2 linked regions of the Kluyveromyces lactis genome follow. The protein of the gene in region 2 purifies or fractionates together with the protein of the main gene of each other region. This does not show direct contact. Links are inferred from orthologs where the notes say so. Each region holds a gene or a part of one and is shown on either strand. Other genes may lie near its edges.

Region 1 (3,887 bases), on a different chromosome or scaffold from region 2:
CCAAATATTGATCGTACACTTGTTTTATTCTGTCAGACTTGCCAGTAGCAGAAGCCTTGCTTGCAAAGGTTTCTAAAAGATCTCTTTTCAATGTAGTTGTGAAATTGATGTATGTTTCTGAATACTTATCTTCTTTCAAGTCCTGGACAATCGCATCGATGTTCGCTTCTGTTGGTTCCACGAAATACACTGCTGGAACATCAGGTAAAGGGGATCTCTGTTGTGTGATAAGGGCGTGAACTGTAACATTGGATTTTAACAAGTCATTGACTCTCATAACAGATGATATTATAGCGGTGCTCCTAGCATCCATGATCAGTACTTTCCAAACGATCTCTTGTTCATCAAGATTGCTTGTTGCTGCTTCCGTTCCTTTATCTGAATTGAACAGTAGCATCTTTTCAATAGACAGAATCTGTCTGTCTCTTAAGGACAATTCTGAATTCAGCATATTACTCTGGTATATATGTGATCCCGATGAGGTATGCTGTTCAATGGTTTGCAGTCAATGACTTCACTCTCGTCCGTACTTTCTGTACTTTTGGTGTGTCTGTTTATTATAAAGGTGCTTCCAGTTTTGATGTTTAATCATTTTTTGAAGTATATTAGTATTTCGTTTTCGGTGATGGAAACGGTATTTGGCCAACACGTAGATTTGGATCTATAGCACTCGTGAAGAGATCGCATATTACATATACATCGGCCAAACTTGAGTCTTGTACTTCGTATTTATTTCCATTTAGTATACATAATTCTATTTGATTTTGGAACCTACGTTAAAGACAGTGATATTTTTTAATTGTACCAGCTTCATTATTGTGGTGGACCTTCCTTCAATGTAGATCTACCGGCTCTGAGTAGTTCGTCGCATAGCAACAAGTTAGAGGCTATACCTGCGGCACCAGTTACTGCATTTCTGAGGACACGATAAGAGTCCCAAACACCTTCTATAGTTGGATCACAAGAGTCGCCAATATTTAGATCAACACCCACTATTCTTGTCTCATCTTCTTCCAACTCGTCTTGGCATTGGGCAAGTACATCAAGGGCATCATATCCGGAATTCTTTATTAATGTCTTAGGAATAGACAAAAGTGCGTCTGAAAAGGCTTGTACACCTGTTTTTGCTTTACCTTTGGCGCCTAGCTTGTTCATATTCGCCCTTTTCAAGTGCTGGGAAGCAGAAATGAAGAATGCCCCAGCGCCAGGAACGACAGCACTGTCTTTGATGACATTTGCAACAGCTCTTAAACCATCTCTTACTGCATCTTTGGTTTGGGTCAAAGCGTGGTGAGTAGAACCTTTAATCAAAATGGTACAAGACTTAGGATCTCTGTTTTCGGTGACGTAAGTAAATTTCTCCTCGCCGATAGTTTCCTGGTAAACCAATCCGGAATAACCTAAAATTTTAGGCGAAAGATCATCAACGGAATTTTGAGCTTCACCCCCAGTGACGAGTTGTAGTCTTTCCATATTACGTCTCTTGGCTCTTCTTAGAGCAAGAATGTTGTGTTTAGCAAGAACATCTAATGACATTGGGTCGATACCTTTTTGGTTTATGATAACAAAACCCTCTTTAGAATCCATACCACATACTTCATTCTTCAAGTCGATGATTTTTTTTAATTTCTCATCAACAAATTTTCTTTCACTAGCAGCCAACTTGTCTCGTTGGTCAGCAGAGCTGTAAAAGAAACCAGAGTTGACTTCCGTCTTCTCATATTCCAAAGAAACATTTAGAATCAAAACATGTGCATTTTCGACTCTGGTTGGCATATCAGGATGTCTTCCTCCATGATCCAAAATTAATCCTTTAACAAAAGTGGTATCCTGTGGAGATAGATGTTGCATTTGCATTATTTCAATCATGTGTAAATCTAGATTTCTGTTGTTAGGATCTTGAACAGCCAAAACAGCATCAGTGACGATTGGTGTTAAAACTTCAGTGAGTTCTGGGTTGACTTTAGTACATAAGGAACTTCTGGCAACCTGCAATAAAAATTCACGATCCAAATCCTCCTCAGCGCTCTTTTCGATTTTGAAGGTATCCAAAAAACTTAAGGTTTCCTTTCTTGCAATCTCAAACCCGTCAGTAATTGTTCTTGGATGGACACCTTCTTGAATATATCTATAAGCTTGTTTCATCAGTTCTCCCACCAAGCAGACAACGGTTGTAGTACCGTCCCCAGTAATTTCATCTTGGGCAGTGGCTGCACGAGCAATCATGACAGCAGTCGGAGACTGTATTTGCATTTCAGTCAATAGGACTTTACCATCTTTGGTCAACTTGATATTACCGGCACCATCGACCAACATTTTCAAAGTACCCTTAGGTCCTAGGTTAGTTTCCAAAACGGATTGAAGACCCTCCGCTGAAGTGACGTTGACTTTTAAAGCAGCATCTCTTCTTAGGGACTCGGCCTTTGGATTTAACAACTGAACTGACATAATTATCTTGCTTTCTCTCTATTATGCACTGCACGTAATTGGTATTGTCAAATTATGACTTTTGATCTGGATAATAAGATGCAAGCAATTGACTGCAATGAATATCACAACTAAATATTAGAGAGTATAGATTGATTTCGGTTCTATTAGAATCAACGTTGTGGACGAAAATGCAACAGTATCTTTCACTCTTTTGAATGTTATTCTTCTTCAACACCGAACGTTAGCCATAATTAAAAGCTTTACTTTCTCCATCAGAAAACTTAGATCACTGTTTTCGATTAATTTTTTTTCTTTGGAAGTGGCGAAAGCTAATGGTTACCCGGTTATTGAAGCAAAGCAACAATCCATGCTGTCGTGATCCTCATATTTATGCAAAGATGATGAAGATTATACTTTAGTAGGACCGCACATCTTCAGTATAATAAATACTAATAGTGGTTTTCAATGAGAATTCTCTAAATATTTTGGTCTTCTGTAAATTGATTTATATGATGATATGTATTGAATCTATTCACATGAAAGACTATGCCGAAATGATGTCCGTTATGACGACGATGATGGCTGTTTTATGGATTGTTTCCTATACGAAACGAGGTAAACAGTAACTTTCTCTATTGATATTCATTTTTTAACTATTGTCATTTCACTGGGTCTATTTTATCCTATTTCTTGGGCCGCCTGGAGACTTCTTGTTCCTTGCCGTCAAGACTTCAACACCATTCTCGGTGACCAAAAGGGTTTGCTCAAACTGAGCACTAACTTTACCATCCTTTGTTGAAGAAGTCCAATCGTCAGGCCAGGTGATATCTTGCCATACACCTTCGTTAATCATAGGTTCTATAGTGAAGACCATTCCAGGTTTCATGACACCGGGCGTTCTGTTGTTAGCATAATGTGGAATGCTGGGGGCACAGTGGAAAAACTCACCGACACCATGACCACAGTAAGTCCTAACAACAGAGCATTTGTTGGATTTGGAGTGCTTTTCAATGCAGTCTCCCAAGGATTGAAAAGTTACGCCTGGTTTACACATCTTGATGGCGAGTTTCAAACATTCACGGGCAGTTTCAACGGTATTTATGACATCCTTGGCGATAGTCTCACCAACGTAGTAAGTTTCGTTTAAATCTGCATGCATGCCTTGGTAATACAATGAGACATCTAAATTGACAATATCTCCCTCTTTTAGAACATATTTGTCAGGAACACCATGACAGATAATCTCGTTCACAGAAGTACAGACGGATTTAGGGAAATTATAGTAGTTGAGAGGAGATGGGTATGCTCCCCTCTTGATAGTCTCGTTATGCACTATCTCATCAATTTCATCCGTAGTGATACCTGGTCTAACTGCGGCGGCCGCAACATCTAGCACTTCTCTACCTAGAGCACAAGCTTTTCTGATCCTCTTAATTTGCTCCTTATTGTAGACAGGA
Region 2 (3,233 bases):
ATGCTTTGGGATTACGTGACGATGATGGGGAAGAGTCAGATGACGAACTATTTGGAGAGAAAAAAATTGACGAAGAAGGTGAAAAAGTCAAGAAAGCCCTCCTTAAAACAGATCTGGGTGCTTTATATGAATCTGATGCAGAAGAGAACCCATATCTATCACACTCTGAGGAAGATGAAGAGCAAGCTGATTCGGATAAGAAAGATTCCGAGAAGGATAATGAAAAGCAAAGTCGGAGATCCTCACCAAAGAAGAAAGCTTCTGACACACCATCAGGTCCACCAAAATTAGTAGTAAAAAGCATTAATCAAAATATCGTTGTACTAACTGGTGAGAAATCAGTATTATCGAACTTCCCTGCAGGAGCCTGGAATCCAAACTTGAAGAAACGTCCAGCAGAGTCTCAGCCACAAGAATCTATGGACAATAAGAGGGCAAAGTCTGATCACTCGGCAGATGATTTGTTAACGGAAGACGATATAATCAATGCAATTGAGGGCAAGCAGTTGACTTTGAAACAATTAATCAGACAATTGAAAGAAAAGGTCGGTAGACATCCTGACAATAAAGAAAGAATGAAGGTTTTTGTCAAGAAACTTGTTAAACTGAACGGTAAATTCCTCGAATTGAGTAAGTAGTTAACATAATTTCCTCGTTTTCAAACCTCTGGAGATATACATGTAGTGATAATTGATATATATCACCTGGGTCCAATTGGAAGGGGCAGGAAATAGCATATTGATATAGTCAGTTTATTAACAATAAGTACGCTTAAAATAAATATATGTTATTTGAAAACAAGATATCTATAGGAAGTTATCATTTATAAAACTTCGACGATAGCATCGTCATCATCGTCGGACTCTTCTTCTTCTTCTTCTTCTTCTATCTCGGCTATTTCGCCATCTTCCGCAGATTTGGCCACGATTTCTTCTATCACTTGATTCTCCGGCTCACCTCTCATCAACATGTTAACAATTCTATGAGATAATTCACCGATATCGTCATTTCCAATATTTTTATGTAACTCTCTGACCAATGGGTATACTGATTTCGATCTTAAGTATTCTCTGCCGGCTTTAGTGGTACAAAGCAATAAAATACTTTCTAAATGCACACATATGATTTCAGGAATAGGATCTCTCTCTTTGTCGGCAGGTAAGAGTTGCAATTCATCCGGTAGATTGAACATATCTTCTTCATCAATTTCGGAGTCTTTAGCTGATGCAATCGGTAGAAGAATATAAGGTAAAAGATTGATTTCCTCATTAGTCAAAAGGTTTTCATGCTTTTCGGAATCAAATAACGAATTCTTGATGGTATAAGCCACACCTTCTCTTCTGGTTTTAGCATCATACTTTTCAGTGAATACCAATAGTTTAGAAATTGGGATGACGCCGTCATACTCCTGCTGTTCAATGAAATACTCTCTACCAATCTTAAATCTCGAAATGTCGGCAAAGAAATAAGCTAAGTAGTCATAAGTGGCATATCTGTTCAACTTTCTATCGTAACCCTTCACAAAACAATCCATTAAGCAATCCATTACTTTGTTGCTTTTAAAGACTTCTATGTTTAATGGAATACCATCGTCTTCCTTCTTAACAAACGAAAACAATTCGGTAATATTGTCTTCCTTGGCGAGATTAGACAATAAAATACACATGATATCCGCACTTGCGTTAGCTAAATCACAGATTTTCCACGATAAGTACTGTAGGAATTCAGTATCCTTGACGATCAACTTTCTCATAGTAACATCATCACATAAATTCGCTAAAATCGTAGTGGATTGTTGAACGATAACTTTTGACTTATCTTTAGCTAGAACTTTTAGATCCTCTATAGCTTTGTAATTATTACATTTGAAAATGACAGCACTTGCTCCAGTTGAGAAGCCAACCAGATTATCAAGAGCAATCTGTCTGACGGCAGGCTGGTCTGAATGCAAAAATGACACTAATTCTTCTAATTCCGTGGACATCTTCCCTCTTTATCGTATCAAGTAAACGCAGATATTTCGAACAAAGATGTTTTATTGAACAATGAAAGTTATAGTTGATTAGCTGGTGAACAATACCTAGTTACACCAACTGCCAACGTAGATATGGTTGATGCGATGAGCTGCGATGAGTTTGTCAAACGTTTCTCAAGTTTCGTGAAAGAAAAGGTTCGACTCTTTAAGGCGGGTAACAATTACATCAGCATCAAACCGACAATAACAGATCTCCATCTTCAATTAAATGAATAGAACCACCGTTAGAAACAGAGCTTTTCAATCTGCGATTCGATTGATCCTTAAGTGCTGCATTTATCATAATAAATCACTTTTATTCTAGTCTTGGCTTATTGCAACCAATTGCAATCATAACTACGAGATAACAGCATTGGAAAATGAGTTATCGCTTCACCGACCTAAAGTCTTCCAAAAGTGGAAGTTTCAACAACAACAAACTACTACGGATACAGGATTCTACAATGCTGACAGCAGGACTTAGTGCTGGGATATTGCAACTTCAATCTTTTGCAGGTTTTGGAATGTTTTTTGCTGTTTATATCCTGGTGAACCTCATATTTATAGCGTGGTTTTGCAAATTCAAGCCTAGTCTATATTTTACTAATCCAGTGCATAAAATATGGGTTAAAAATCTATTCCGCGAGCTAGCTGGGTTTGTCATGACTTGGACGTTAGCGTTCACTTTGGTCAGGTAACGCATATGACACATTTTGCATTAACGGGTTGATTTCATCTGAACGATATCACCATTAGGATTCTAGAAGTACTATAATATTATGGTCATTAAAACTTATAGCAGAGATAAATATTTGCATGTATTATAAACAGGATGATGATAAACAATATGTACATTTAAAGGATATTAATTTATTAGGTAGTAATCTGTTCTCAACAACAGATTTTAGAAGATATTAAGATCTTCGTGAGAGATATCACGGGGATACAAAACGTAAGAAATGGCAATCTTCATCAATAGAATGATTTAGAAAGTGAACCAGTTATTAGGGAAAGAAAGCGTGGTTATCAAATGCAAATATTCGAGGCAGAACAATTTTTTTTGTCTTGCTTTCCCAAGTTGAGGCTGACATACATCTATATCTGAATTTTTTCCACCAAAGTTGCTAACTTTTCAACACTAGCCAAATGCCTGTTACCCAAAGTGTTATTTTTATTGGATTTATCCAAATAGGATCTGATGGAAATAACAATCAACCTC

What was found.
Region 1: the proteins of HGH1 (region 2) and CCT6 purify together in Saccharomyces cerevisiae (affinity purification with mass spectrometry, with the first as the bait; 3 studies listed by BioGRID). This does not show direct contact. The link is inferred for Kluyveromyces lactis from reciprocal best matches to the Saccharomyces cerevisiae genes HGH1 and CCT6.

The regions. Positions count from the first base shown.
Region 1 is NC_006040.1:1,555,299-1,559,185, reverse strand, and holds CCT6 (chaperonin-containing T-complex subunit CCT6), read right to left. Parts: upstream 2,449-3,887; coding exon 814-2,448; downstream 1-813. Other genes in the region: SLY1 (syntaxin-binding protein), read right to left, coding at 1-451; methionine aminopeptidase MAP1, read right to left, coding at 3,104-3,887. UniProt on the Saccharomyces cerevisiae protein: Molecular chaperone; assists the folding of proteins upon ATP hydrolysis. Known to play a role, in vitro, in the folding of actin and tubulin. In yeast may play a role in mitotic spindle formation.
Region 2 is NC_006042.1:1,426,014-1,429,246, forward strand, and holds HGH1 (Hgh1p), read right to left. Parts: upstream 1,985-3,233; coding exon 824-1,984; downstream 1-823. Other genes in the region: transcription factor IIF subunit TFG1, read left to right, coding at 1-638; EMC6 (Emc6p), read left to right, coding at 2,395-2,712; mRNA-binding protein PUF3, read right to left, coding at 3,110-3,233.